Linked DNA regions of Mytilus edulis. The protein of the gene in region 2 purifies or fractionates together with the protein of the main gene of each other region. This does not show direct contact. Links are inferred from orthologs where the notes say so. Each region holds a gene or a part of one and is shown on either strand. Other genes may lie near its edges. The genes, in order: transcriptional coactivator YAP1-A-like and protein PALS1-like.

What was found.
Region 1: the proteins of protein PALS1-like (region 2) and transcriptional coactivator YAP1-A-like purify together in Homo sapiens (affinity purification with mass spectrometry; 6 studies listed by BioGRID and IntAct, counting the BioPlex papers as one, with this or other methods). This does not show direct contact. The link is inferred for Mytilus edulis from reciprocal best matches to the Homo sapiens genes PALS1 and YAP1.

Annotation. Positions count from the first base shown.
Region 1 is NC_092346.1:52,554,621-52,571,927, forward strand, and holds the start of transcriptional coactivator YAP1-A-like, read right to left. Parts: upstream 7,090-17,307; 5' UTR 6,568-7,089; coding exon 6,128-6,567; intron 1-6,127. UniProt on the Homo sapiens protein: Transcriptional regulator with dual roles as a coactivator and corepressor. Critical downstream regulatory target in the Hippo signaling pathway, crucial for organ size control and tumor suppression by restricting proliferation and promoting apoptosis.
Region 2 is NC_092346.1:57,554,358-57,571,429, reverse strand, and holds the start of protein PALS1-like, read right to left. Parts: upstream 9,473-17,072; 5' UTR 9,450-9,472; coding exon 9,269-9,449; intron 1,980-9,268; exon of another isoform or gene 1,947-1,979; coding exon of another isoform or gene 1,877-1,946; intron 1-1,876. Other genes in the region: leucine-rich repeat-containing protein 73-like, read left to right, coding at 14,266-14,534, 16,274-16,434, 16,781-17,004. UniProt on the Homo sapiens protein: Plays a role in tight junction biogenesis and in the establishment of cell polarity in epithelial cells.

The DNA.
Region 1 (17,307 bases), about 5.0 Mb from region 2:
TGATATTTTAAACATGATCCATGTTTTAGAGGTTAAGCATTTCTTTTACTTTTTGTTCTTGGGTTAGAGACATTTTAATGAGAAGGTAAATAATTTTCGAATAGATTTATATCTCAAAGTTGTTTTGTTAATTTTACAATCAAGGAATGGGTGTTCTTCATTGACCTACAAGAGGCACAGTTTACACATTCTATCCTTTCTAGGAATTTTATATTGTCCACTATTTTCTATTTCTAAATTATGATCAAAAATTCTCTACCTTAATTGACACAATCAAGTTAACTTTACAGTTTTTATCATAAGTTATTATTTTTAGATTTTTCTTTAAATTCATTTTTTATTAAGGACTTTAAAAGTCTTAATTCATTCAAGTCCCTGCAATTATTAACTTTATCTAAAAGGCCTAGGTTGATTGAAATATTCTTTGTAAATGTATACCAAGAATATGTATCATGCCAGTCCAGCACTATCGACAATATAATACACTGAAAAAAAATGATTTAATTAATAGACCATTAAAGTGTCACCATCTTTAGAAGTGCACTTTATTTTTTTCTGGAGAGCCTGACAAATTTTGAAAGAAATTAACCAAACTGAAGATAACATATTTAATAAGTTTCAAGACAATTTCTTTAAATAATTTCTTTTCATAAGATTCACTTGATTCAGATATATATAAGAACATTTTTCATTATGATTAGCATTTTTAATGAACATTTATCAAAATTTTATGATAACTAGGTGGACATTTGGAAAATAAGTCTTTTCGGTGATTGTTTGTGCACAACTCTTGTTTTGAGATTTGAAGAAAATTTAAATAAACAAAATTAGTTTTTTCCTAAACCATATAATGGTACTTGTAGTTTTCCTGAATAATATTAGATGTTATCAAAATCTATTGTTAAAGGATTGATATTGAATCATCTTATTTTGTTAAGAAACCAAATTGTTTAATTACTTTCATTTTTTTTATTTAAAATATCACTTGCATGATTATTAGTTATTATTAATAGTAATAACTCATTTAATAATGTTAACAAACAATTGAATACAATGTACATCATGTACATTTATATAAACCTTTTATTTAAAAAACAATTATTAAAAGTCTGTTTATCATGTTTATTTCAAATGCTAGTCAATAACTTTGGCTTTGACTTTTTGCCATTTCGACTCAAGATTCTTACTAAGAAGAAATTAAAAGAATAAGAAACAAAACAAAAAACAATTAAAAAATAAAAAATTTAAATAACATTAAAGACAACCAGGTGCTCCGCAGGGCGCAGCTTTATACGACCGCAGAGGTCGAACCCTGAACAGTTGGGGCAAGTATGGACAAAACATTCAAGCATGATACAGCTCTGAATTTGGATTGTGATCAAATTTTTGACATTACATGGTTTTTTTTTACACAAAACAAATGCCAAGATTTTACAAATCAATTAAAGATTTCTTCTTCAAACTTTTTAAATCTAAAATTAAATAGTTGACACAGCATAGGTTTCTGACACAGAATGAATGTGGTCTAATGAACTTAAAAGGTTTTTTTTTGCCTTTGAGCAATTCACTATGCTGTTGAATATTAATCCTCTCAAAAAAATGTTTGAAGAAATTTTCTTTTTATTTATGAAATCTGAAATGAGAAAAATTTAACCCCCCCCCCCCCCTTTTTTTTCACATCCCCGTTTCCCTTTTTCAAAACTGATATCAATTCAAATTTCTAATGGAGTTTGCAACAATAACTACTCATTCAAATACATCATAAAATATTAAGATGTAAAAAAACTGCTTGTTATCACTGAATGGTAAAGATTATTTAAATTTATCAGTTGGTAGTAAAAAGTGTATATACATTGTATATTGTATATAACAAAGATTTAAGTTGATTCTGGACAAAGAAAGATAACTCCAATTAAAAAAAATTCTTGCTATTGCAATATTGTGCAATAGGATATTTCTTGCTTACTATTCTGGACAAAGAAAGATAACTCTAATTAATTTTTTTTTTGCTATTTCACAATATTGTGCAATTAGATATTTCTTGCCATTGCACAATACTGTGCAATTGAAAAGACTTGCTATTGCACAATACTTAATATAATAATTTTAGATCCTGATTTGGACCAACTTGAAAACTGGGCCCAGAATCAAAAATCTAAGTACATGTTTAGATTCAGCATATCAAAGAGGCCCAAGAATTCAATTTTTGTTAAAATCAAACTTAGTTTAATTTTGGACCCTTTGGACTTTAATGTAGAATTTGAAATTTGAAAACAGGACCAAAAATGAAGAATCTACATACACAGTTAGATTTGGCATATCAAAGAACCCCAAGGATTCAATTTTTGAATTTAATTTTGGACCCTTTGGACCTTAATGTAGACCAATTTGAAAACTGGACCAAAAAACTTCAATAATCAAGAATCTAAGTACATTTTTAGATTCAACATATCAAAAAACCCAACCGATTCATTTTTTGTCAAAATCAAACTAAGTTTAATTTTGGACCCTTTGGACCTTAATGTAGACCAATTTGAAAACGGGACCAAAAGTTGAGAATCTACATATACAGTTAGATTCGGCATATCAAAGAACCCCAATTATTCAATTTTGATGAAATCAAACAAAGTTTAATTTTGGACCCTTTGGGCCCCTTTTTCCTAAACTGTTGGGACCAAAACTCCCAAAATCAATACCAACCTTCCTTTTATGGTCATAAGCCTTGTGTTTAAATTTCATAGATTTGTATTTACTTATACTAACGTTATGGTGCGAAAACCAAGAAAAATGCTTATTTGGGTCCCTTTTTTGCCCCTAATTCCTAAACTGTTGGGTCCTAAACTCCCAAAATCAATTAAGTCATAAACATTGTGTTTAAATTTCATTGATTTCTATTTACTTAAACTAATGTTATTGTGCAAAAACCAAGAATAATGCTTATTTGGGCCCTTTTTTGGCCCCTTATTCCTAAACTGTTGAGACCAAAACTCCCAAAATCAATCCCAACCGTTCTTTTGTGGTCATAAACCTTGTGTCAAAATTTCATAGATTTCTATTAACTTAAACTAAAGTTATAGTGCGAAAACCAAGAAAATGCTTATTTGGGCCCTTTTTGGCCCCTAATTCCTAAAATGTTGGGACCAAAACTCCCAAAATCAATACCAACCTTCCTTTTGTGGTCATAAACCTTGTGTTAAAATTTCATAGATTTCCATTCACTTTTACTAAAGTTATAGTGCGAAAACTAAAAGTATTCGGACGCCGGACGACGACGACGACGACGACGACGACGCTGACGCCAACGTGATAGCAATATACGACGAAAATTTTTTCAAAATTTGCGGTCGTATAAAAAATAATAATAAATTAACAGAGTAAAACAATACTTTATTCTACAATTTCAAAAAAAGGTGAAATGTCAATTTTAAAAGAAACCCAAGTTACCTGTACAGGTAAATTTTAATGAAACATACCAGCTGAAAACTTCAACCCTGATTGATTTTAACAGGTAACATAATTAGATAAAAAATCTGCCCATGATTTATGACCCCCAATAAATGGCCAACATCTCAAGATTGAATACCCCAATAAATGTTCACCATTGGATGTTGACCATGCAAGAGGGTGGACATAACTAAGAGGAAGTCACAGGCTGTACTGTATCTATGCACAAAATTGCAAATGTCAATGTATATGAAAACAGCAGGACATGAATGAATCCATTTGGTTTTTGATCAGTCGATTGATTACTGCAGATCCAATAACAATCAATTACATCATTTGATGGGCACAAACTCTTTAAAAAAATTTAAAACTGATATTAAAACACTAATCAAGACATGATTAGAATGACTTTAATTTCTCAATTGAAATGTTCAATCAATGTACATTGTACATATCATACCATGCTATTTGTATTTATACAATAGAAGCTGTAAAAAATTCATTGAAAAAGTTACTTATATGTTTAAAATTTTATAGTGGTTCTGTATATTTTAAGAAAGGTGGCACTGGGTAATATCTAACCAACATAAGTGTAAGATGCAATTGCCTAGTATTGTTCATGCATGTACATGTAGGTTACTGGTAAAGACAAAATTTAAAGTGCAACAAACCCACTTTTCCCACACTTCTAAATAATAAGACTTTTAAAAGTACAAAAATATATATATATATACATGTACAAGGAACTTCATGTCAATTGTATAATGTATCATTGTCTGCAGTTTTGTTTTTTTTTTCATATTCAGGTGAACATGCATACATGTATATGTACATCATGATCTGGATGAATATTGATTGATATAATGCATATGGTGAAAAACACCCCTTTCAGCACTAACGGATATTTTGTGGTGGTCGGTTCATTATTAGTGGAGTAAGCCTGAGAGCCTAGACAGAATCACTGACATTCGACCAAAAAAAAAAGATTCAATTTGATCAAAAATGGAGTCATGCACACCTGCCATGTGTAGGATTCAAACTCACAACATCAGTGTTGACAGGCACTGGCTAGTTAGACAGTAGAAGGGAACACTTACACTACAGTCAAAGCTGTTTAGCCTTAGACTATTTGGCCAATGAAGTCCCTATCTTGAGCAATAGCAGTTTTTCTTACTGCATGCTGAAGCATGAAATTAGTGACAAGGCAGCCGCACTCTTAATTCCACAATCCAAATCCTAAGGCCTGGTACCAGTGATACAACTTATCTATTAGTTGCAGTTACATGTACATGTACATTGTACATATCATGTAGTCTGTGGTTCTAAAGAATATACATTGTAGATGAGATACAGGAGAATTAAATTGCCAGTCTAGATCTTGTGTATGAAATTTGAACTACATTGATATGAAAGTTGATCTTCAATATTTTTTTTTATTTTGTTATTTGTTGTTAGCAGAGCTTATCATGCTTATTACTTTCACAAATTACTAGGATTCTGGATTATCCTCGTACTATGCGTTTTGGTGCCATTACATGTAGGAATGCATTATGACATCACAATTTCTATTGAAAAAGCATCTGTAGTACAAAATCATATATGACCTATATGTACATGCATGAAAATATACGATCTGACCATACATGTACATTTGTAATATAACATTATAATCTGTTTAGCAAATGGCAGGCAATTTTCGTATTTTCTAATTTTATTTTCTGTAAAAGTATTTGAATAAAAATGTACATGATGTAAATGAATATTGTTTGAATCCTTTAAATTGCCATAAAATCATTTTGCATCTGGGGAGGCTTTATATGGTAATTAATTTAAGAAGGTCCTTCTGATTATAATACTACATGTATAACTGGCAGAGTCTGTGTGTCAGTTTTATGGAACCACAATTTAAATAGATAGCGGAAAAGTATTGACTATTTTTTTTTTTTTTTTTTGGCAAATTGGAAATTTAAAAAGCTAGATTCCAATGAACTGATAAAAATTATTTCTGTTATAATGAAAATTTTGTGACCTAATTTAATTTAATTTTCAATCACTGACCTTTCTGATTGGGTCATGTCTAGCAATTAATACTGTTTCTGGACACTTGCGGAATTAATACAAATGTAAAATAGTTTTTTCTGGACATTTCAAAGAGGAAATAAATGCAGAATAAGTCCATGGTCCGACATAGATGATGTCCAGCTTCCATATAACATTATAAAGGGGCATAACTCGAGAACAGTAAAAGTGTTGAATCAACACCAATTACTGCCTCCTCCATGACCTGGCCATAATAATAATAATGCAATTTTGCAGGCAATATTGACAATTAGCTATATAGCTACCCATTTACAGAGAGGAACTAGTTTGTTTACATTTGAAGTCGTGAAATTTATATATAAAAAAAAACACAACAAATAATTTGTAAGTGCATAAGAAACACAATAACATATAAATATATATTCTCTGTAATTTTCTTTTGCCCTTTCTGTTTTATTCCTTTCTTGAGCCTCAGCTCTTTTAATCTGGTTACACCTGAAAAAGTAATCTACTTACCCATTTCTAAATTTGCAAACAAAAACAGAAATTAGTAAAAACATATTCACTGACTGTATAGTAGAACACTAATGACTTTTATGAATAATGCATACATATGTACATGTAGTTTTATAATTTTACTCACTTTATATAGTAAAGTTGTCCGTCTGGAGTTCTTGCCTTTTCCCAACCTTGAGGCAGAGGGGGTTCGTTGTCTAACATTGAGTCACATGAATGTTGCCTTGCATGTTGATGCTGTGGAGGATTTTGTGGAATAGTGGATAATGGCTGCAAACTTGCAGGTGATGAATGCGCCCTGGTATGCACTGGAGGTGCAATTATATTAGGTCCATAACCTGTTGAATCGTTACTACCTTGTTTTGAATGACCCGATTGTTGAGAGTTTGGTGGTGTAAAAAAAGAAGCTGGGAAATTACGCATTTTCATAGGCACTTGTCCAGTTTGGCCCGAGCGGGCCGGGTTCATGGCAGCATTAAATAATTCATCGAGTTCGTTCCCACTGTTGTCCCGGACGTGTATCACCTGATTACCTTTACGCTGCGATAAATCCGACTGTTGGGACATTTTGACGAAATTTATGAAAATCACAACACTAAAAACCGAAAATTATCCTACTCAGCTAAGACAAAAACATTTCTAGAGTAAGCGAAACTAGTTACATATCCTTGAAGATTTCCTGAGAACTTTTCTTCTTGTCGGACACCATTGAAGTTTTACGAAAATTAACCCTATGACTGGTCACAACCAGGTTTAACAGGTTCCCCTCATCCGCGGGACGAAATAGTGCATTATAAACTATGGGTTATTTTAATCAATCTTAAGTTGATGATGAATATTCAATACTTGGTTTGTTGATAATGGTTAAAAAGGGATATTTTTTTAGTTTTTTTCCTTATTGACATTCTAAATCTTAAGTTGTACGACAACACTACCGATGTGAATTGCGTATGTTTTAGCACCTTGTGACGTCATAGGAAATTATGTCAATGGTGACAAACTACATAGTATACTTTGTAAACAATTTTTGACATAGTGATATAAAAGTATTACATGTAAAGATGAAATATAATTTTTTTATTTGTATGTAAATAATTATGACATTAACCCTTTTTCAAATAATAATCGATGCTTAGATTCCCCTTGATAGGCCCATTAATCCTTATAAGGGGCTTGTTTTATTGTGAATATGTCAATCAATCAATGGCCGAGTTTTGATAAGTAGTTCAGTTGAATTTTACTGCGTGGGTGGGGACTTCAAATGGTGAATCATTCTTTAAAATTACTACTTTTACTACTTTTTTACAATAACTTTAACACAGAAAGGCGTTAGACATATATTATTCATAGCTGACAGAAAATCTGAAATATTCTTTTTTTTTTATTCTTATCAGCATCTTTATCCAAATTTGTTATATCTGAGTCATATTCAAGTTTTTTAAAGAAAAACGCAGAACGCTGAAAAAGTAACAACAAGTCGACCCTCTTTCAAAAGATTAAACATTAACACCGAGTAGAAAATTGGAAATAACACTAGAAAATCAAACAAAAGTAATTTAAAACGGCCGGAAAATTGCCAACTATATTTGAGTAAATCAATCCAGGCACACTTGAGTTTGAACGCTGTATGATCCTGTATGTGCAAAATTTACTTAATTTCAAATGGACCAAGTCCAGTAACTTTTAGAACGTCGGAAAACCATGAAATAGAAAAAAAAATCGAAAGGGATCTTCATTTTATCAATCCAAACAATAATATAAAGTTTATGAGAAGCCTTTAATACCCCAACTACTTTTCAGGAAATAAATCTAGGCAATCAATCCAGGCATAGAGTTTGTTTGCTTCAATTCAGATGGTTCAAGTCCCGTATCTTTGGAAAGGCAAATCCTGGAATAAAATAAAATACATCGAAAGGGAGCTTCAAATCTAAGCAATAGTGTAAAGTTTATGAGGAATAAACTCAAGCATACTGCGCAATATGTTAACAATGGCTGTTAAAGTACCGTAACTCTGGGAATCATAGCCATTTTTTTTTTAAATTAATAGGGGGTTTTCTTCCGTCTATCTAGTATCATAGTTATAGCAAATTTGGGTTATTGTGAAATGTAGACGGACGTAACAGACGGACAAATGAGAGTTAATTAATTGGGTAGGGACACACATATTGCCTTTCAACAGGCCACCTAACCCAACAAAGAGTTGCTACGAGGATTCTTAACGTTCATATCTAGCGTATTGCCACTATCTCTACAAGAGGCATCGGATTTAATGTCCCATATTACCGGACGTGCAGTGGGACGTGACTGCGTATATTTATACATTATATACAGCCAAACGAACCCCCAACTTTAGCAAAGGTTTTTACTACCGATTGAAAGAAGACCAAGCTAGTGAACAGTTTGTTGAAAACCAATAACAACTAATAAATAAAATGTATTGTCAGGTTATGGATCATGTTGAGGTTCATTAGTATTTGTTAAAAAAAAAAGTGAAATTATCTAAAGTTAGTTTTTAGTGTCTATTTAAGCTGGAATATAATATACATTACATTCTATCCTATAACCCAGAGTCTAATGTAATACTTGACATTTAATTAATTTTAAAAAGTTTTGACAACTTCATTTTTTAATAAATAAATGTTTGTGAAAAAAATTGTCACGGTAGGCACGTGCCTTAAGTGTCCAGCGGCATTCAGCTGTGTTCCTGGAACTTCACACATATAAATGACTAGCAATATTTTCAGTTCAGTTCAGTTTCATGCATTTGCCTGCCATGATGATAGCACACTACCTTAGGGTATCATGTTGAAGACCAGTTTGAAAAAGAAAATACCCGCTCTGTCTAAAATTTATAATGTCTATGTAAAACTGGAGTTACATTTTAAGTATGCATTGCACACATATAAAACCGTTCATTATTACGAAAAGATACACTGTACTTCGAAGGAAATTAAGTAAATAACTTGAAGATGGTGTTACTAAATTTTAGTGGATACTGCTTTACAATCATAAAATTATTGAATCGAGCATTTGTTTGGAACATCAGTTATTTTTTATATGTTGGTGCATTTTTACAGAGTAGTGAAATCACCCTTATAGCTATCAACAAACCGTAGGGGAAATTACCCACCTTTGACTTGATAAAACAACACAGGAGATCAGGTTTACAAGGTCTTTCAAACTCAATCACTGAATTGCCGGATAGTTCACTTGAATAATCTCACAACCACCAATTCCGGAAACTCTTTAAAAGTGGGCACTTAACCGAAAGTGCTACTTGAAGTACTTTAAGTGTTTACAAACAATAGTTTTATTCATTTTATGTCTCACACGTACCGTTTTGTATTGCTCTTGTTTACAAAGCCTCCTATAGAATAAAATAAATCGTGACAATAGAATTTGTCCGATTTTTCAATTAACTCATTCATCGGGAATTTTCCAGCATAAATGACAAAATACAGACATCAACCAACAGCACAAGCCATCACAGTTATGTGACGGTATGATGAACGTAGACACCCAACAATATCATCCACTCGTTTTATTTGGCCCATTTGTGAATAAATCGAAATAGGATGACGGAAAATCTGAAAAAAAATCATTGTAACTATACTATATATGATGATTTTTCCTAGACACTAACTAGAAAGTTGGTTGGTAGCGAGCAGATCATGTGCATATCTAAACCAAATTGAGACCATTTTGAATCCAGAATACTGGATTGAATATAGGCTTAACGCAATACGTTCCAAACAACATCGCAGATGCGATTAATGTTCTCGAGATTAATGTAGTTGAAGTTGTTACAGTTTTTGTTTTTCATCGTAGTAAAAAGGTAAGCATCTGACGACGCCTGCAAATTCTGCTTTGCTGATGTCGTTGTCATTCAAAACCATACTGAATACAGCCTAAAGTGATTATTTGATTGATTACTAGGCCTCAAGTTAACACCACTGTCAGCACTATTGGCTATTTCGTGGCGGACAGTTTTTATTGACGAAAGAAGCCAGATTGGCAGGAGAGAACCTACGACCTTCAGCAGGAGAGAACATACGACCTTTGGCAGGAAAACTAACAGTCCTAGTAAATTCAGATTGGAATCTGTCACGTGCGGGGTTCGGACTGACAACCTCAGTGTTGACAAGTTAGTTATACAGCCTATATATATATATGAGCATACCTAAAAATGGAACGTTCTCAACTGCTGGGACATAAAATAAACCCCCGACTATTGTAGAATCGTCTGCCATTTTGCAGGTATAGATCGTTCTAATGTCTACCTGGGATAAGATACAGACTGACCCCTGTTACCTCAAGCCATCACGCAACACACATTGTCTTCACACCAAACACGATAGGAAAACCTGCCAATATGATTAATAAACCACATTCCTTTTGAATATTTTGTTTCAGCTGTCTTACACTTATTCCTTATGATATACCTCATATTTCATTCTTCAATATTTTGCCAATTTTTATATCTGTTGCTTGGTGAGTAACATCTTGTGTTTCCCAATCAAATTGACATGCGACTAATGTGTGCTGGTCGTACTACCGTTTTGGTCGCTTGTTGTAACTTGTTGAACTGACCTTGCATCAGGCTCTGTACAATTGTTGGTTGTCCTTTCATGCATGTATTTTGTGTTCGAGTCCTAGTACTGGCACCTAGCACTCGTTGAAGTCTACTTGATAGTTCTTGCTAAAACTAGTTCTATCAATGGTGATCTTGATGGCGTGTTTGTTGAGTCGCAATTGTCTCTGAAACTCGTCGTTGATGTCTCTGATACTTTAAAAATAACGCAATGACAAACCAAGTACTAGTAATACAATATCGTTAGACAAATGAAAGGTTGAATCCCCTGCATTATTAGTCGAGAAGAGTACTAAATATCGGCCATCTTCACTAGAGCTATTTCGAAACTCTGTCTATCTTTCGGATAACGGATTGGATTTAAACGAGTTTCTATTAGTTTTGAGAAATAGTATTAGTCATTGACGTCACTTTTTGCGTTTAGGCTTTGACTTACTCGAGTGTGTATTTTTTTGTGTTAGATTATGTTGGTTTGTGTAATGTATCCGGTTTTTTTCTGTAATTAGTTAATACTTTAGTTATTTCATGTATATCTAATATATAGTAATTTTATAAAATTTACTGTTTGCAAAAGTATAAATTATTCTAAATAATAAGGATGTTTTTATCACAAGCAGAAAATCCTAGCCGTATTGGGGACAACTTTTTAGAACTTTTGGTTCTCAGTGCTGTTTAGCTTTGTACTTGTTTTGGCTTTCAAACTTTTGTATCTGGGTGTCACAAGTTAGTTTTGTCTGGACGAAACGCACTTCTGGCGTATTAAAATTTAAACCTGTTGCCTTTTGTTAGCTATTATTCGTGTGTTTCTTTGTCCAATATGTTCTCCTATTTATTTGCATTGTAGTCCTGTAATGTTATGTTGTCATTTTAATATTATATTTAACATTGCCATTAAAGCGGGAGGTTTGGCATGCCACAAAACCAGGTTCAACCCACCATTTTTTTTCTTTTAAAAAATGTCCTGTACCAAGTCAGGAATATGGCCATTATTATATTATAGTTCGTTTCTGTGTGTGTTACATTTTAACGTTGTGTTTCTGTTGTGTCGTTTGTTTCCTCTTATATTTGAGTGCGAATTCACATTACTATAAGACGTGTCACGGTACTTTTCTATCCCAAATTAATGAATTTAGTTTTGGATGTTAAATTTGTTATTCTCATCGGATTTTGTCCGATGCGTAGTTCGTTTCTGTGTGTGTTACATTTTATTGTTGTGTCGTTGTTCTCCTTTTATATTTAATGCGTTTCCCTCAGTTTTAGTTTGTAACCCGGATTTGTTTTTTTCTAACGATTTATGAGTTTCGAACAGCGGTATACTACTGTTGCCTTTTATCCTTTTGACACGACGAAAGATAATCCATACTTAGGAGCTGTATTTTCGTTGATTCTTTGTAACAGATTGTTATCCATTCCATAATCATGGAACATCTTTTGAATACTAAAACTCAAATGACGAATTCTAACAGAGATTACCAGCACAAAGGCTTCTGTGTTTGCCGAAACATTGTGCTCGAACTCCTCTACCCTAGTAGGAATGCACACAACATACTCGTTCACCTAGCATCTGATAGCGTTTGAGAAAACACTTCTTACTCTTTGATAGCGGTTACATGATAAAGCACCATAGCGTTTTATCGCGTTTGAGACTGCCCTAGCGTTTTGACAGCAATTGAAAAACACCCATGGGTTTATATTATGGCTTTTGCATGCAGTTTACTACAACAATGGTCATCATTCGGCTGACGCTGAATTCATCTGGTCGTCTTTTAAATACATTCTAAATTTGAATGAGTTCTACGGACTGCGTTTAAGTGTCGGAAGCATTAATTTCGGTTATGTCAACATGGGTCGGTGTACTGGTTACCTTTGTTCGTCTTTGATCTACTTTTTTTCAGGTTTCATCTGACCCAAATGACTTGCCCCGTATTCATCATCATCAATTCAGGCAAAGCAGTTGCTTGTCTATTTTTCGACGCGTTCCCACTCGTGTCTTCACTTACACCTGCAATCGCTCGTACCACGTGTGTTTATCTTCAAAAAATCTCGAGCAATGTAAACGAAGCAAACATCATCTCAGTTTTCAAGCTTTTCCTTAAATAGTTATCAAAGGTACCAGGATTATAACTTAGTACGCCAGACGCGCGTTTCGTCTACATAAGACTCACCAGTGACGCTCATATCAAAATATTTATAAAGCCAAACAAGCAAAAAGTTGAAGAGCATTGAGGATCCAAAATTCCAAAAAGTTGTGCCAAATACGGCCAAGGAAATCTATACCTGGGATAAGAAAATCCTTAGTTTTTCGAAAAATTCAAAGTTTTGTAAACAGGAAATTTATAAAAATGACTACATTATTGATATTCATGTCAACACCGGAGTGTTGACTACTGGGCTGTTGATACCCTCGGGGACGATACGTCCACCAGCAGTGGCATCGACCCAGAGTTTTAAATAGTTATCAAAGGTACCAGGATTATAATTAAGTACGCCAGACGCGCGTTTCGTCTACATAAGACTCATCAGTGACGCTCATATCAAAATATTTATAAAGCCAAACAAGTAAAAAGTTGAAGAGCATTGAGGATCCAAAGTTCCAAAAAGTTGTGCCAAATAAAACTTCATAGTCTTTTTTCTGCACTCTCTAGAAGTGTTCCAGAGAACACCTCTCACACTTTTTTCCAACGCAGTAAGCTATTTGCAAGAGTCGGTAGATTGGTTGATGAAGATATTTCCCAAAGACCTACACACGACCGTCACGAATAAATTTTTTGGCATATTTCTGTCATTGTTCATCTTACCACCGTTGGTATAGCCCACTTTGTTGAGCAATTATTTCACAAGGATGTTCACTATCTATAATAATGAAATGAATTGATCTAAATTGATACAGCTAATTTACTTTTTGAAAGTTGATTCTACCATATAATCAGTTGTTTGTGCTCGCTTAGATTTTTCCTCAGTAACTTTACTGAGGAAAAACTTTACTGTCACAAACGTATCATTTGTGATCATTTGTGACACAAAATAGTCATTTGTGACACAAAATTGTCATTTGTGACACAAAATTGTCATTTGTGACACAAAATTGACTTTTTCTTCACAAAATTGACTTTTGTCTTCACAAAACTGACTTTTGTCTTCACAGAGTAGAAATTTAGCTTCACAAAAAAGAAATTTACCTTCACAAAAAAGAAATTTTGCTTCACAAAATAGAAATTTAGCTTCACAAGATTGAATTTTATCTTTACCATTTTGAATTTTTCTTCACGAGATTGAATTTTGTCTTCAAACTTTTGTGTTTTAATTTCCATAATAGGGAAAAAAAGTAGATTTTTGTCTACAAAAATGAATTTTGTCTACAAAAATGAATTTTGTCTACAAAAATGAATTTTGTCTACAAAATGAATTTTGTTTACAAAAATGAATTCTGTCTACAAAAATGAATTCTGTCTACAAAAATGAATTCTGTCTACAAAAATGAATTCTGTCTACATAAATGAATTTTGTCAAAATGCGGTTGTTCAGCGTCGGTATTAGTTTTAGCACCTTGTTAATCTCCACATTCTCAGGCACAATCGGATAATCATATTTTTTTTTCCTGCTGGTACTCGAAATCGCATTCGGTTTTTGAACCGGATTTTTTTCTCGCTTAATCGATTGATAACTGTTGAATAGCGTTATACTATCGTTGCCTTTATTTATCAACCATGTATTCATACTCGTGAGCATCGAAGCTGATAAGCATGTCTTCGATGATCTTCACTGGTACCATGCACTTAAATGGTTTTTTTTTTATATTAAAGTTGTGCGATGACTCATTTTTAATGTGTTTTTTTTTCGTGTTCGGAAAACAGTTCCAAATCGAACCCTTTGATTTTGAGCTATGAGTCGAGTCGTTGGCTAATACTGGTGGTATGTAGTGTACAACATAGAATCTTGCTTGTAGTCCTCCATGAACATAGTCTCGAAGTATGCTAAATTGTCTTTAAATAGCATCACATCAGTTAGAGTTTTAGTTGTGAATATCAAGCATGATCTTATACTTGGATGTGACAATTTATGTATGAGTGTAGTCTTCACCATAAATGCCCTCACCGTTAAGACCATACAATTCTTGTTTGGTTGATTATTCATTTTCTTTCAATCTCTTCTGACTTTATGCGTAATCATAGTGGTACTCTCACGTACGCGCCAACAAATTGTAGCGTGTCAATGTCTTAAACTGAACCTTCGTCAGTAATTTTGCAAAAGTAACCAGCAAGTATCGCATAAAGAGGATTGAATCGATGAAGCTGATTTTCATGACCTGTGCCTTCTTGGAAAGCTAATGTACATCTCATCGGGTTAAAGTATGCATTTGGGCTCAAACCCCAACTCTGCCACGAAGAGGTGTATCAACTCAAGTTGTGGAACACGATGGGGAAAACCGTGTTAGTTTGTAATGCAAGTTACAACTGTTCTGTGCAGCGCCAAAATATTTCCCCGTGAGGTAGTCGTGATCGCGAACCTTGTCCTTATCCAGCACTTTTCAGCAAATGCAAAAATGCTAGATTCAAAACATTCCCTGTCTTCATCGGTCATCGTTATCTCTTTCTTGTCTCGGTATATCTTGGTGATGGCATCTACCTCATAATCAACAAGCTTTATGAATTACTTAGCTACCTTGATTACTTGGTAGAGGACCGGTGCAATGTTGACCCCGTGTGTGTACTGAAGTAATAGCAGAAACACGATTGTATGTAAAGTCGTGTATGCCTTTGATGGATCGTATTGGCATGTGTCGATGTTATTCATGAATCTTTCAAAGTACGCGTAGATGGTGCACGAGATTTCTTTGAATGTTTCAACGGCTTCTTCTGACTCCAATACTAAAAAAAAAAAAGACTTAATCAGTTAATTATTGTGGTCTATTACAATTTTACAAGTAAGTTGAGATTCAATATCTGCGACAACAAGTTAGTACACCCAACAGATATTCTGATTTTTCAGTGTTAGTAAGAAAGATGGGTCCGTCATGCTTCGTAATTGTGTTCCTTGGTTTTCTCCACGAATATACTTTCAGTTTACATTTCTATTCAACTGTCTTCATACCCTCACACATTCACATTGACATATTCATTCTTCTTTTTGAACTTATCAATTGTTCCTAATGAAATTGAGTTCGTCTGTTCAAACCATAAACGTAGTCACTGGTTTTGTTGATTTCTGATCCACCAAATTATGGAGTAGGGCTTAAACACTGCCGATCACTAAATACCGGTTAATCTCATTCTTAACATTGATACTAGCTTTGTTTTGTGCATGCCGCTGTTGGAGTGGAATGTTAAAAACCTACTGCTAACGCTGCGCTTTTGAACTTATCAAAATCAATATCTAGTTACCCGATGTTTCTAAATGTTCACTCACTAGCCTGTCGATGAACGTTATCTATGTTTTGTTTGATCCTCTTTTAGATGAAATAAATCTCCAATTAATATATACATATTTCTCTTTAGTCTTTTCATACGATTGGGCTTCGTTTTATTTGCAACCGCCGGCATGTATAACCCCCTCTCCTTTTTAAACCTTTATCTTCGCAATTTGTTACAATTTCTTTTCGGTTTGGTCAACATACATCTTTCCAAATCACCATATTCCCATCGTCAAGTTGTATAGATGTTTTTTGCCACTTTCAGCAATATTGTCTATTTCATGGCGGTCAGTTTTTATTGATAGAGGAAGTCGGAAAGCCAGGAGAGAACCACAGACCATCGGCGGGAAATCTGGCAATCCTAGTCATTTGAGATTGGAGTCGAACGCACCTGCAACGTGCGTGGTTCGAAGTCACAACCGTGGTTTTGACAAGTATATAGTAGTTTGAACTACCTGGACCATCTTCTCGTTTGAAGATCGTTAAACAAAATACTAAACTAAGATGCTACAACCCTTTACATTTAATGGAAACGAGACGGTGGTTTGGAATTTGCAGATATGGAAAACCCGTGTCATCTATGCTTCTTGTGTCAATAGGAAACGAATTTCATTCAATATTTGTTATCTGTTATCATTTAATAAAAAAGTAAGAAAATTCCCGAATATTGCTTTACTGTTACATTTTCAAGTGGTGAAAAAATGAAAGGGATAAGTTTTTATTTAAGATTAGCAAATGTTTAGATTTCAAGTTAAAATATTGTAATTATATTCTCAATTATATAATTATGTAAAAATTGTTCTATATTTAATTGCTAAAATCATTGATTTTCATTAATACATTTGTTATAGTTATGTATTGTGCTAATTAGTACACGTGTATATGTGTCTCAGTGGTCCTAAAAAACATTTTGTTATTATTATGTTATGTAAGTCACTGATGAGTCTTTTGTAGACGAAACGCGCGCCTTGCGTATATATACTTTTTTTTTTATCCTGGTATCTATCACGAGTTTATTATGTTATGACCAGCAGGGTCACCTGGTATCTAGAAATAGCTATCGATTAGATTTGATTTCCCCTAAATTTAATATCAAAGTGTGCTGGTGGTTTTGTTACATGGGTTCCATATGCGTCTCGTGTGTGTGTGTGTATATGTGTGTGTGTGTATATGTGTGTGTGTGTATATGTGTGTGTGTGTGGGTTTGGGGGATACCACTATCATTGCCACTGGCTAACTCACGTGTGGGTGAAAAGAAAGTCGAGTGTGTAGATCTCCAGTTCCTGTCAGTACAAAGCCTCTACAC
Region 2 (17,072 bases):
TTTAAATGTCTGTAATCAAAGTTTCTGAATGCAGACTGTCTAAATGGCCATAGAAATCAAAGGTTGCCCTAGAAGATCTTAGAAGGTCAATCAACTTCAAAATGTCAATATGGTGGTTGTACTTTTATGAACTTTTTCGATAATCTCAGATTTAGATTATTTTGTATGCAACTGAATAGAAAATTAAGATTTTTCCAGTCTGTATTCCGTTAACACTATTTAAAAAACAAATCTGAATGTCAATTTTCCAGACATGGGGGGGGGGTTCTGATCCCGGATCCCACTTACTGTTTTTCAGATTCCTGTATTACACTATGTACATAAGCTATCTCATTTTTTTGTAATTTCCTGTGTCCTGCTAGACTTCATTTCCCAGTTTTCATGGCATAATAATTTGACTTACAAGTGTCACGCTTACCAAAAAATCGGTAATCCCATGGCACGCTTAGACCCAAATGAGACCCACCAGACACATCACTTCAATGTATGAATCCATATGCATGTCTTAAAACTAAAAAGAGTAACAGTGAGATATATTAACCTAGATGGACATTTTCAATATTTAAATTGGATATTATCTCTTCGTGAAATTGAAAAAAAGCCTCTCTCTAAGTGAGGAGGAGATCATGATAGTTTTTTTTTTATCATGATTAGTTTTAAGGCAAATACAACATTTAAAGTCTACATGTATTGAAAAATAAAAAAAATAAAAATTTCAGATATTTTTTTACTTTCAGTACATTTTGTAGTATAAATTCTCTGATTATAAAAAAGTTCTTGTCTGGGATTATGTAATAAAAATTCTAAATTTGATTAAATCTTTTAATTTAAAAAGATGACAAGGTAAACAAAAATGACAATAATATGTGACAATGGATTTTCATGGTTAATTTTCAATTGAGAAAAAAAAAGTTTTTTTAATTGAAACTATTTGTACAATTAGTAAGGAAACAGCAATGGCATGGTTTAGGATATAATTTGTATGTAAATGTTAAATTCATGAATATGTTACCATTCCAAAACTAAAGTTGCTATTTTATCCCCTTGGAGATTTGAACTTACAATATACACTGTTTTAGGTTGTATTGCATATATGCTCTCATACTATTAATATTTTTGGCTTTCCAACACAGGTACCATAGGAAGACCCACTATCAAAGAATATTTACATTGATAGTGGGTCTTTTAATTCTCATGGATAGAAACAAGTGCCTGTGCTTTCCAAACTTAGCTATCCAAGAAACATGCTTTATCACACAGATATCCTTAATATAATATTTTAAAAACTTAATTATTTGGATATAAAAATGCAAATTAGTAACTTTGTGTAAAAGAAATAATTCTCAAAATTACAATTGTCTTTTTGGTTGTAAAGTAGAAAAACAAAAATGGCAAAAACAATCAAAACCTCCAGAAAAAGTGTTTCTCTATTTGTTATTAAGCAAAAATTAATGACTTGGAAAAGCAAATGCAGATAGAATATTAAACTCAATAAACCTTACGCTAATGGAACATCATCCAGCTACTACTATCCCTAAGTTGCATTCTAAGACTTTAATAATTTAATATCTCTTTGTCACTTTTGACTTAATTCATCGTAACAGCTTTTATAATTTCATAATAAACAACTGTCAATACAATTTACATGGAAATCCAAGCACATGCAACTTTATTCCTTTTTTTAAAACATTTTTCGAAAAATTAATGAGAAATTATTTTAAAAGCTTTTAAACTCTTCAAGAATTACATAATTTGAGGAGATAAAGATCAAACATCTAACTGTTGTTAAAAAGAATTCCCTTAAGCCACTTCATTTCCTTGGCTATATTCTTAACATCGTCAATAATGGACGGAGTACGTCTTTTAATGAACTCACCGTATAACTTCATTTCATCATCTATAGTTTGTACAAGTAAGATAACATAGCCAGTTAATTCCATCATCATAGAGAATGTGTCCCATCAGTATTCTATAAGAGTCTTTACATTTTGTCATCATAATCCAAAATGACTTTGTTAATAAAACTATTCTAGAATATCTCACTGTGATCCCAAATGGCAAATACGAGCTGTCCTAATGAATCAACAATAGGATAATAGAAACAAATCGTTGATAAATATCAAATCACATGTTTTTTCTTATATTTCTTTCATCATAAACTGATTGATACTGAGCAGAAAAGGGAAAATAAATCAATTCGTCTGATTGATAGATCTGTCAGTCACAATGAGAAGTAATGCCAACTATAATGGGCCATTGGATTAGGCCAAACTGCTCATGCGGAAAATATAGCTAAGCCGTAATAAAGCTAATAAAGAGTCACAATACATCAGAATTTACTCATTCTTCTGCAAGTGTTGCATCGTCCTACACTAGAAATATCTGTTATTTTTTTGTCTGTGGGACAGTCATTTAAGTTATTTTCAATAAAGTGATGGATTTGAATTTCTTGTAACAATTTTTGAAATAAATATTGTTCTTAGGAATGAAGTAACTATGTTATAAAATTAAAGCTGATCAATATAATTTGGTCCTATAGCTATATTCACTTTTTCACTTTATTTCCATCAAGTAGATAAATTGTTGCAAACATTTTTGTACAGTATATAGGAACCGTTGAGAGTGTATTCATAAATGAATTTTATTTAGCTATTTTTTTACCTCAAATTTACTGTATAAAATAAGTTGATATTTGATGACTTCAAGATTAATGAAATATTAACGTCAAGGATATACCTCCAAAGGAAACATGCCCATTCGCACCATTTCAGTGAAATCTGAGTTAAAGTCGTAATTTGGTATGAATAACAAATACTTTTTAATAATGAAAATGTGTATTTTAAAAGTTTAAAATTGATGTGACTACAAAGTACTTTAAACCAAAACTTTAACTTAACCTACACACAAATTTTACCATAAGAAGGGACAGACAGACTAAAGACTACAGTCTTGGCATAAACCAGAAAACGAAAAAATTAAAACCAGACTTGGAACTTTACTGTGAGGTTTTCAACTTATTGAATAAAATATACACCCCATAACAGTAACAATAAACATTCCTAATTGAATTGATCAAATGATTATCTCAAACTATAAATTTTCATTGTATGATCATCATGATTCAAAACTAATTAGCCATTTTATTGTACTATAAAGTTTCATGGTTCTAGTAAGTGCAATTGAAAATCTGTAATTCTATTGAGTAACTAAGAACTCAACCATATCCACACAAATTAGAATTTAATGTTGCAATTAATGAATCCATAGTATCACAAATGATTAAGACTTTGTAGTACTGTAGCTACATATGACACGGATAAACTGACAGAGAGAAATGGATGTTGGTAGATAAAATTCTATGGTAAAAAAAAATTTAAGAGAACTATTGTTTTTTTTTTTTTTTATATAAATGAAACATATGCCTTATAAAATCAAAGTGTGTCAGAAATCTACAGCACATATAAGACATTTTATTTTATAATAGGGGTTACCTTTATAAATTGAAGCAACAATGACATTTCTTTTTTTGTGAATTAATTTGGTATCATATGTAAATAAATTCAAGCAACCAAGCATAGACACAGCAAGCTCAGTTGAGTAATACCTATCGCTATAAACTTTGGCATGAATTTTAATAAAAGTATATATATATATATCCAATGCAATCATACATGTAGGTTAGAAAGTTGTTTTCAATTAAGACTTGTATATATATACAAAAGCCTAGATAAAAGCTTCAAAAGAGCCAAATTTCTAGTTTCTGCATGCTGACAAACTGACTAACATGTGCCTGCATATTTCAAAAAGTTACATCAAAGACGAGCAACCTGAAGAAGTTGACTAAGCAGTGTTAGAAATGAAATTGTTTTACACAACAAGGATTATTCTATGTAAATTCCACAGCTCTTAGTGATATAAATGATTTTAAGTGATTGACAAAAACTAAAACTTATTCAGTTGATGTAAGAAATACCAAGGACATTTGTTTGTTTGTTCTCATCATGAATAGGCCTGAAATCTTTCAAATGGATTTTAAAGCAAAATCAACAAACAAATCACATATTTATGTCATTGAGTTAATGAAATGGAATGGATAGAGTAGAGTATCTACTTGGTAGCTGTTACAAAAATAACTTTTCAAAGGTCAGATTTAGTTATGTTCTATCCATCTGGAAGAAATGATCACACATTTCTTATATAAAATAGTATTGGCAGAATGTCTTGTCTAACCAGAAAATAAAATAACCAAAGTAATTATTTCAAGAAGAATAGCAACTGCAGAAAACCTGTAACATCGCTATCAATTAAGATAATAAGCAAGTGAAAGGCCAATTATATTGAATATTGTATGGCCGATATTAGTAAAGATTTCTACAGCAAAACTTGAAAGACAATAGTGATAAAATAGTTCCTGATTCTAAACAAATGCATAATATGAAAATTGCTGCACTAAAAGGAATATCATATTCAAGTATAGAATAAATTTAAACATTAGAATTTATGAACCATTATTAAATCCTCTAGACATTATCAAAGAACACACAGAATAATGCTGTTAGCTGTCTCCAAATGTCCCACTCTTATCAGCCAAGCAATTATGTAACAGGGATCAAAATGATATATTAGTTACATCACAGCAATAATATGAACCACTGAACTATATAACTGTCATGTTTTTTTAATATTAATCACTCGCATCCACTAACACAATGAGTGCACAAGGGTAAACAGCAATGTTCAGTGCACATTGAATTACAGTGGTTGATAGTGACTTGATACATTATTTGATGAAAATATCTAATACCCCGTTCACACTATGCCCTTTTAAACCGGGTCGACCTGAATTAATCAATCCAGGTTAAATTTAGGTAGTGTGAACGCCTTAAACCGGGGCGAACACGGATCAAAATTACCCCTCATCTAAGGTGGGGTTAATGTGGGGCAAACTCAAGTTAACTTCCTCACTTCTTGATGTGAATGCAAAGTGAAGTTAATATGAGGTTGTTCCTATAGTGACGTTTACATAAATACGCCTTTGTCTGTGACATCATATATCAAATGACCTCATATTTTGACAGACGTCTAGTTCCTGTATTTACTAGGTTACGAATAATATAAAGAGGGATATATAATTGTATAAATCTTTGTTAAAAAACCTGCATGTTGATGAACGATGAAACCTATATCATCTCTATTGCCTTTTTGGGCGAAAATGGGTTCAATTTGGATAATGTGACATTATTCGAAAATACGGAAAGTGGTTGATGGTTTTTGATGGTGATCGAACTCCCCAAAGTGGCCAATAGTGCAGCAAAAAATAATTCAGACTTTAATATAATGCATCTGTGAAGAAAAAAAATATGTAAATATATATATAGTGGAAGGATGAAGGTTACAATTTTGGTGCTTACATTTCTATTTTTTCTGACAGGGAAAATCCCAAACCTGGTTAATTTTTATAGTGTGAACACTGTATTACATAAATAAACAAAATTATATCTACATGTATTTCCAAAATAAACATTTATAGTTGCAAAATATTTTTTTTTTCTTTTTAGTATAAATGATACATAGTTGTTTCTTTAATTGTTTTCCTATATCATGATGGATCTTACATAGATCAAAAGCATAAAATTCTGTCTAGTTATAAGACCATTTAAATATGTTATATAAATACATACAACCCCAGAGTTGTAATAAGCAAAAGATTTTGTTGGTAAAGAATACATAATTGTCAATCACACTATTGTAATGAAAAAGCTGATCAGGTGTAATATTTGAGGAAAATCAGTTCAATCATAATTCAAATATATGTAGTCTGCAAAACAAACAACTTTCATGGGGAATATTCATTTCATATAAGCATTCCGGACAGTAATAAATCATAATACAAGTAGATATAAAGAATTAAATATTAATCATTTACATGTAATAGAACTTCTTAAACTGTTGCCATCAATGCAAGTCGTTTGTCGTTTAATTGATTTACATGTTTTACCAAATGTATTTTTCCAAGCAGATAAAACAATTTTGTCAATTGGTATTTTGTAAAAACTAGAGGGTCCAAGGACCCTGTGTCGCTCACCTGATATTTTTATTTACAATTGATGCATGATAAATGCAACTGTTGTACTGTCGTTTAGTTTCAGAGATATAATACTAAAAAGTGCGTTTGAAACCTATGTTTTATTTCAGCCATGTGGGCAGGCAGGGTCATCATACACAGTGGTCCCTGGATATCCTAGTGGTGATTTAAACCAAGTTTGTTTAAATTTGACAGTTGTTTCAGGGGAGAATTTTGTAAAATTTATCTAACGAGAAATGCAAAGTAATGAGAAAGTTGTGAAGTTGTTTTGTTGTTGCGCAACCCCCCCCGCTCCCCCTTTGCCAAAAAAACCAAAAAGGTAATAAAAAATTATCATATAAGGGCAATCTATCCTATTAATGATTTCTGCAAAATTCAGTTGATTGTGCAAGGGTTGTATAGCCAGCTGAGGTCGTGAAAAACTCTCTTTTGTTGTTGCAGATAGATCTAGACCTGATAAACAATTTTACCACATGTCAGATTTGCTCTAAATGCTTTGGTTTTTGAGTGATAAGCCAAAAACTGCATTTTACCCCTAAGTTCTATTTTTAGTCATGGCGGCCATCTTGGTTGGTTGGCCAGGTCACCGAACACAATTTTTAAACAAGATACCCGAATGATGATTGTGGCCAAGTTTGGTTTAATTTTGCCCAGCAGTTTCAGAGGAGAAGATTTTTGTAAAAGATAACTAAGATTTACGAAAAATGGTTAAAAATTGACTATAAAGGGCAATAACTCCTAAAGGGGTCAACAGACCATTTTGGTCATTTGACTTATTTGTAGATCTAACTTTGCTGAACATTTTTGCTGTTTACAGTTTATCTCTATCTATAATAATATTCAAGATAATAACCAAAAACAGCAAAATTTCCTTAAAATTACCAATTCAGGGGCAGCAACCTATCAACGGGTTGTCCGATTCATCTCAAAATTTCAGGGCGGATAGATCTTGACCTGATAAACAATTTTACCACACGTCAGATTTGCTCTAAATGCTTTGGTTTTTGAGTGATAAGCCAAAAACTGCATTTTAACCCTATGTTCTATTTTTAGCCATGGCGGCCATCTTTGTCGGTTGGGAGGGTCACCGAACACAATTTTTAAACTAATTACCTGAATGAAGATTGTGGCCAAGTTTGGTTTAATTTGGTCCAGTAGTTTCAGAGGAGAAGATTTTTGTAAAAGATAACTAAGATTTACGAAAAATGGTTAAAAATTGACTATAAAGGGCAATAACTCCTAAAGGGGTCAACAGACCATTTTGGTCATGTTGACTTATTTGTAGATCTTACTTTGCTTAACATTTTTGCTGTTTACAGTTTATCTCTATCTATAATAATATTCAAGATAATAACCAAAAACAGCAAAATTTCCTTAAAATTACCAATTCAGGGGCAGCAACCTATCAACGGGTTGTCCGATTCATCTCAAAATTTCAGGGCAGATAGATCTTGACCTGATAAACAATTTTACCCCATGTTAGATTTGCTCTAAATGCTTTGGTTTTTGAGTTATAAGCCAAAAACTGCATTTTACCCCTATGTTCTATTTTTAGCCATGGCAGCCATCTTGGTTGGTTGGGCGGGTCACCGGACACAATTTTAAAACTAGATACCCTAATAATGATTTTGGCCATGTTTGGTTAAATTTGGCCCAGCAGTTTCAGAGGAGAAGATTTTTGTAAAAGTTAACGACGACGGACGCCGGACGCCGCCGGACGCCAAGTGATGAAAACTTTAACCTGGACGGACGAACGGAACCACAGACGGACGGACGGACGGACCAACGGAGCCACAGACCAGAAAACATAATGCCCCTCTACTATTGTAGGTGGGGCATAAAAATGTTTCAAAATAATTCAATCAGTAGTTTTCATGCTTGAAATGAGCACTGGCTTAACTTATATATGTATTGGTAATCATTAAGGGTGGACCAAGCAAATGAGAATGTTTTATTAAACATAAGTCACTATCGTACATTTCAAATTTAAATATTGACGACTTAGTTTGACTGGATTTAGGTCCTATTTTGGAATAATCGTTGATGATATAACATTGATATTTTATCGCTACAATCTTTCATTTTTATGCAGTACCAGTAAAATTTGGACGCCATAACCTTCTGATTTATCATGTGAATGACATCAACAAAAGTTTAACTTGTTGGTTCATAAATCGGCCCATATCAATGAAATATCTTCGATACTTTCCTGAAATGCTTTAACAAAATAACACTAATAGTTATTTACTTTTTTCCATTTTTTTGTCTTTGAATGATAGTTGTTTCGTTGGCAATCCTATTACATATTTCCTTATCTTTGTGATTTATTAAAAATAAATGTCATAAAGTGTGGGGTAAATGTCAATAAGGCAGCAACCTATATAGACAGAAGACCAAAATACATTTAGAGGTCAACATATGGTCTGCAACAGCAGACAAGTGTCTATACTATAGATATAATCTAAATCACCTTAAGTATAGAAAAGTCTTAGACTCAATGAACTGTATATACTAGTAGTTCCATAGATGTGTTTGTTTTAATAATACTGTATAGATATTATAGCTGAATGATTTTGCTGGCTTTTCAAATTAGAAACACCAATCAAGTGTAGACCAATTATTATCTAAATGAATAAAATGTTTAGTGTGAATTTTTAATTGATTATCATTGGCACATCATAATCATGATAATGGCTAATATTGAAATTTGTTTTGTTTTTTTTGTAAAATTTCACAGCTTTACGGATTACTAATAAAAATTTTCATGTGCATGGCATATCCAAAATTTATGAAAGAGCAAGTGATAACTTATGAGGGAATGAGGCGATGAAAAGTGGTAAAATATCTGCTAAAGTAGCTATCTTGAACAACAGTAATGTAGGAGCCAGGGACAATTGCACTCCCCCTTTTTCAGCATTGGGACTGTTATGGAGGGAGGGATTATTTCCCCTTTCAACTGTATGGTGCTTGTGTGTGGGGAGGGGACAGGGGAAAAACAATGTTTCCTGAAATATTTTTTTTGTAAACAAAAATTTTGTTCTATACCACAATTTTTATTTAATTTTTAACACCAATAGCTTAATAAGTTAACATATATATTAATATATTTTGAGTAGTATCTCATACTTTTAAATCAAGTTTAAGTTTCTAGTCCATATACTTGAGCAACACAGATGTACTTGCCTTCAGCAATATCCTCAATCCTGGGGCAAAACCCTTCATCCACTCCTCCCATGATAGAGAACCCATATCTTTTGTCATTTTCACCCAGATGTAATGTCTCATCTATAACTTCTATAACAGATAATGTGCTATTATCATTGCTACTCTTGGTTTCTGTTGTGTCATCTGATGATGATTCCATCTTATTAACTCATTTCTACTAAGCTACATAACAGAAACAATGGTCTTTTTAGTTTTTATAACATTGTACAATTCAATATTACAGATATCTACATTATTCTACAATCTACCAAGAATTTACTATTAGCCTGCTTGTAAATCTAAGGAGATGTGGTATGAGTGCCAATGAGATAACTCTCCATCTCTTGCAGTGGTGGCCATGGATTGGTTTCTGCTCTTTGGTCAGATTATTGTCTCTCTGACACATTCCCGGTTTCCATTCTATATTCTATAGAAATGGTATGATGTACTTTCTGTTATTTTAGCATGTTCAATACTGCTTTAACTTACTCTCACATGTGCACATGCTGAAATGTCTCACCTGCGTTACTGACCATTGATTTTATGTTGAAAGTTTTAAAGATAAAGGTTTTACTACAAGTATCACATACACTTATCATTTTTATAGATTCATGGCAATGAGTTCAAGGTCTATTAAATCCTGTCAGACAGACGAGTACACCTTACAATTATTTCATTCACTAAATATAGTTAACCTTTTGCTTTTGGTAATTGAAAAACAGTCTCAAACACAAAAACTTAACGCTAAACAGTGAACCCTGAAAATGAAGTCAAGGTCAGATGATACTTAATGGACAGACATGTACACCTTACTATCATTCCATACAATAAGGTCAGTCAATCTATTGCATGTATATATACATGATATAGTACTTGAAAAATAGATCAAAACACAAAAACAAAAATTTACCAATGAACCATGAAAATGAGGCCAAGGTCAGATGCAGACCTAATCACATCACTTTAGTCTCAATCTCTGATCCATAAAATTGGGTCATTGTCAGGTGAACTCTGTCTGACAGACATATAAATGTTGCAAAGGATGATGACTTCAAAACCATATACCAAATATAGGTATCTTACTTCTCATATTAAAGGGATAATTCGCGATTTTTCACTTATCATCTTATTATGTTCATAATACCATAAAAAACATATTCACCAAGTTTTATTTTGATATGAAATCTAATAAAGAAGAAAATTGGGAATTATTAATTTTATTTCTTGAAGCTTCCTGACTTATGTGACGTAGTTTAAGTCTTTGATGCATGCCGGGAGTGAAAATATCTCATTTAAGTCTTGTTCGTAAACAATCTAATTACGCGATTTAAAGCGCATCGACGACTTTTGGTGTAGCTATTAACCAACGAAAAATAAGTGATAGCCATGCAACTTTTAAAATTAGATCGTGTGGATATTTTAAAACGAATTTTAATAATAAAATTAATTCATACATAGAACATTTTTATGATTTGTTTTGTACAAATACTTTAAACAAACATATGAAATTGACATGATCAATAGTGTATTAAAAATACATGTTTGTATTCTGACGTTTTTGCTTCATTACAGCAAACATTTTCACTTGCTTGTAAGGTGGAAATAAAATGTGTATTGTTTTGTGACACCTAAAGAATGTTGAATGCGTAGGTTAACTCAAGGTAATTAAAAGATTAGCATTATGTAATTCTAATCCTTTGATCCTCATTCAGTGAAATCTATGCGTCACGGTTCACTGGCATTCAGGTGTGAACAACATAATTGTAAACGGGACTCCGACAAAATTTCAGACACATGAATGTAAAAAAAAAAATTAAAATTAATTAACGGGAATAATAAGATCGCACAATAACTGGATAGCTGTTGTATATTTTTATATTTTGCATAAGATCACTTTTTAATGAATTATGACTTTTGATTACTTTAGTAACGATAAAACACTGAATTATTTTAATTGAAGAATTTATAAATAAAAATAGCATTCTAAACACGAGTTTATGAACTAAAAATTGTACTATTTCAAATAAGGATCGGCAGCCTTAAATATTTCAAACAGATCATTAACAATTGCAATTATATATTTTAGTCCATCCAAAGTGATCTTTAATTACCTATTTAGAAATTAATGTGCTCATCAAAATATTTTAAATCTGACAACACATGAAGACTTCAGATATTTAAAAAGAAAAATGTTTAAAAAAATTTACAGGAAATTAAAGGATCTAATTGGAATGGAATCGACAAATTACGAACAGATATGCTTTTCAAGTGTGAAAAACATCAACAAAATTTATACATAATCGGGAATATGTCCTTAAAATACTCTTCGTCTCACACCGTAACTATATATAATACTTTAGCTATTTGACCAACGATGTATAAAAAAAGACAACGAATTTAATGTCATCCTTCCCTATTTTTTAATGTAATTATAAGTCTGTTTCAACTGGCAAGAATACCACTAAAGCGGACAAGCAGTTTCTTTAAATTGCTGTCATTGAATATCTAGAGAGAAAATAAATCCCGAAATTGATTTGAAACTTTGATACTCTATAGTTTTCCCGGAAAATATTCACATCCCTCGGTATAAGTGTACTTCCAGTGGCGTATATATTACATGCATTTTGGAACAATTGTGACGAAGACGAATTTCTTCCTTTTTTCGAGAACAATCTAATTGAATTATAAATGTCCATAACTTCGATGAGCCAAATAAAGTTATATATCGACCTGTGTTTAAATCTCTTCTTCTTCTCCTTCTTCGTTTGGTATACAATAATCTATCGACATTTGATGATTACTTACTGTTGGCATACGTGGACTTTTCATTTTACAAAACTTTTACCCCAATTTACGCAAAATATATTATTCTTTCTTATGTTCTATGTATAAATGTATATATTTTAATTTACGCTATAGTTCCGTAACTTATAATCCAGGCGTATATACGAATGGTCGACAAGTGCGTACCTTTTTTTAAATCAATATATTTCTGGTATGTTCCAATCTGTCCTTCACCATTGACAACGAGTTATCAGTATATATTACATTTTACCAAATTTACTCTTGGATTTTTTTTTTATTTCATCAGATCTGTTGTTTTTTTTGGTATTATTTATATTTTTATAAATAATTTTCTTTTAACCAGAAATGTTATTCATAAACAAGCGTATATGTTTAGTAATGACTATATATTATATCACTTTCGGACACGCAAGATAGAGATGTATATTATACACCTAATAGTTCAAAATGGAAAGTTATAAGTTATCGGCCGTGTACACTTATCAATACACTAAGAAGTGAAACGATGCATGAATTTGCAAACTCGACAGGAAATCGCTTGAATACCTGGACGTGTCACCTCACACCCCCTACAATACCTTTGGGAGTAATACCTTTAGCCATGCGGGTGATCAGTGGAGCGAAGATCCTAATTTATTTGAATAAAGTTTATTACATAAAAGAATTATGAACTAATTAGATTGCCGAAAACAATTCAAGTTTCACGGAAGACTTATTTATGATTTGAAATTTTGACTTTTTCACTAATTCCTATATTATCAGTCTTAAAATAACAGATATTGTATACCAATATTAAAAAAAAAAAGAAAATTTTCCGTATCAAGTTAACTAGTCGGATAAAACAACCGTACGATTGACGAGATATCGACACGCAATTACGACTACATCGGGTTACTGTAGTTCTGGTCCTTAGACATATCGCGACTGCAAATCGGACAAGGTGACAAAATGGCCGACCGTAGAGAATTGATACTCTAAATTTAAAATCGATGGTGATCTCTTATCTAGCAGAATAAAACTTTAATACCTATGAATTTGAGCATTTTTATACAGAATAAACATAATATCAATTTTTGATTTTTTTGCGAAGTTTCCCTTTAAGTTAAAAATACACATCACTAAAAACCTCAAGGAAACTTGTCAAAATAATAATATGATGATTGATAGCATTTTTATGTCCAGTGGCAAATTAAATGAATTTCAGGATGCAAAGGTGTTAATAGTTTATAATAGGAAAATAAATAAACCCTGTTTTATTCATGATTGATAGACTGAGCAGAATTTTAAAGGTACCTATAGTTCACAATAAAGCATAGGCAGATCCAGGGGGGCATGCCCCCCCCACCCCTTTGGTAGGAAAAATTTGATTGATTATGTTGGGAATCATTGAAGCATGACTGAAGCAGGCCCCCATAGGTCAGTCCCCCCTTTTTACAAAAAGTTCTGGATCTGCCACTGTAAAGGTGTAAGTCTGAAGGAAGACATGTCACCATACCAGGAGTCCGACACACAGTTTTCTGAGTCCCAAAGTTGACCATTGACAGTCTATGCTCTTTCTCCTAATTATATTTTGTGCACTTAGCAGTAAAGTTGAGAACACAAAGGTTCCCCCTTTTGTTAAACAGGATTTTGAACAATAAAATAGACAAATAAATTGGACTTTGTATTGTGTTTTTTTTGCCATAAAAACTCAAATACTATCTGAAGCTTTGGGTTCAACCTCTTAAAACTCTTTATCATTTTATGACTGTATTTATTTTTTTTAATGGAAGAAATGTCTATTTAATTATTTTTAAAAAGGTTGTCAAGTTCTCCTTTATACAATAATTTAATGATCAAACCCTTATACCTGGTAACATTCAACATATCTTACGAACTATTTACTTAAATGTGAAATTGGACTTCACAGTGAACCAGTGTTGTCTTGGTGTATTTCATATCCACCGCCTCGACTGTATCAGTGGTCATGTCGAACCAGTTTTATGATTACTACCAATCAGATTGTTAGAAAGTCAACTCTGCGAATCTCTTTTGTTTACCTGAGTGACACAGATGGGCCGACACAGATGAACGGGCACCTGTCAAAACAATTACTACCTAATTACTTCATATGTTTATTGTGCGTATTGTGGACGTATAACAAGTAATATCTGAGACTGATTGTAAAAACTATGTCAAATACAATTCTCTTAACAGAACAAACTTTAAACGATGAACATTTACAAGATGCATGTGAAGATATTCAAAATGATGAGGTGAAAATTTTATCAATTCGAGACTGTAAACTGACATTTGCAAAGCTAAAAAACATTTTGAAGCTGGTTGAATCTTCAGAATCTTTGTTGCAGCTATGCCTGTGTATTGGAATTATAACAGATCAACGTCGAATCGACTTGTTATGTAGAACCATTAAAGCCAATCGATCACTACATGCATTATTGTAAGAAATTAATTAATTATTTATCTATCACAGTTTCTTACTCGACCTATATTAATGTATATGCCTTCACATTATATTGTTTTCATTATTTAACGTTTTCATGCTGATATTTTTATATAACTTTAATATATTATAATAATGGGGGGTTGTTGATAGAAAAAAAACCCAAGAAAATTATAAATTAAAATAGCAAAATAAGGGAAGAAAATTATCTGAAATAATGTAGGGTCTGCTTTCACTCTTGCTTAACATGCTTAAATTTATGCTATACTAACATATATTCAGGAGTCCTTAAATCTGTTCTTAGCACAGAAGAAATTGAACAGTGATTCATTCTTAAGACAATGAAATTCTAAAATTATATATTGTTACAAGTAAAGTTCAATGTCATTGTAATGAAATTAATTACATTTAAATTCAATGTAATTGACATGCAGACATCTTATACCTTCAGGTATTTCACATCCAATCTTTTATGGTAATTACAAAGCACAAAAATGTCAGTATTCACCTCAAAAGCTTACAAAACCTTTAAACAGACTTATTAAGAAGGGATATAGTTACGATACTGTTGTCAGGTCATCAATGATTGCATATTTTGGCTTTAATATTGATTCACTTATAGGGTCTTTGCATCAGAACTAAACACATTTATTTAAAAAACAGTTGTTGGAATGACACGGTTATGTTCTTCTCATATATTTTATGATAGTATGATACTAAACCCCTAACGGGAGGGATTGTGCCTGATATTCATATGATGAAGACATAATCTTTCAATCAGTTTAATTGAGGTCTGGAGCTGGCATGTCAGTTAACTGCTAGTAGTAAGTCTGTTGTTATTTATGTATTATTGTCATTTTATTTATTTTCTTTTGTTTCATCTTCTGACATCGGGACTCGGACTTCTCTTGAACTGAATTTTAATGTGCATATTGTTATGTGTTTACTTTTCTACATAGGCTAGAGGTATAGGGGGGGGGGGGGTTGAGATCTCATAAACATGTTTAACCCCGCTGCAATTTTGCGCCTGTCCCAAGTCAGGAGCCTCTGGCTTTTGTTAGTCTTGTATGATTTTTAATTTTAGTTTCTTGTGTATAATTCGGAGTTTAGTATGACGTCCATTATCACTGTACTAGTATACATATTTTTCAAGGGGCCTGCTGAAGGACGCCTACGGGTACGGGAGTTTCTCGCTATATTGAAGACCCATTGGTGGCCTTTGGCTGTTGTCTGCTTTATGGTCGGGTTGTTGTCGCTTTGACACATTCCCCATTTCCTTTCACAATTTTAATTGTAACAAAATTAATTACTAATTAAATATATTACATTTAAAATTCATTGTAATTGTAATGTAATTGTAATGTAATCAATTTAAAATCAATGGGCATGTACCTGATTTCAGGTCATTCAAAAGTGATTTGATCCAGGTTTTACAAACACATTAAAATACTTAAAATATTTTAATCAAAAGAAGATATACAAACTCTTTGGTTGCTGAATATTTTACCAAAATATTCATACTGACCACCTATATACATGAACATACAATTCCTTGCATAATAGTTTATAGTATCTTATTTTGGGGGAAATAACTAAATAGACCAAAACGATAATGGAAGGAACATAATAAATATCTCATCTGTATAATTATGGATTATAAAATACAAATGTACATGTAAATAAATTGATTTATTGGAAGTTGATTAACCTTATCAATTTTTCATGTTTCCATTTAGTATTCATGGAAACAGTATTGGAGATGCAGGAATGAAGAAATTAGCCAAAACACTGCTTCATCACCCAACCATTGTTTCATTGGATGTTGGTGATTGTGACCTTAGTGATGATTCTATAGAGACCATTTGTAACCTTTTACCTCCTCATGGAAAAAAGTCTGGTATGTTTTGTCCATGATACTTACTTATTTTAAGAGAAATTGGCTTTACACATACATGTTTGTACTATAAATAAAAAGATGTGGTATTAGTGCTAATGAGAAAACTCTCCATCCAAGTCACAATATAAAAAGTTAACAATTAGAGAGGTCAAAGTATTGCCTTCAACACGGAATCTTGGTTCTCACCAATCAGCAAGATATACTAGTCTACTTTTGTTATTGGGTTACTGTCTCATTCTGTAATAGCAATCTGCAAAATACATGTATTTTTTTTTAATACTTTCTTATGTTATTACATATATTCAATGAAACAATTACAACTTGACTGGTCCATTTTGTATTTTAGGTTTAATTGACCTTACAATGAGTTCTAATCCAAAAATAACAGAACAAGGGTGGATCAAACTGAGTGTTTCCATGGCAGCCAGTAGTTGTTTACAAGAGTTATATTTAGATTATAACATGATAGGTGACTTAGCAGCATCCTCTATGTTGGTTGGCTTAGCATCTCATAGTCAGCTCCAGGTTCTTGATTTGGAAGGAACTTGTATCACTGATAGGTTTGCTGAGGTTTGTAGAACTTGTATCACTGAGAGGTTTGCTGAGGTTTGTAGAACTTGTATCACTGATAGGTTTGC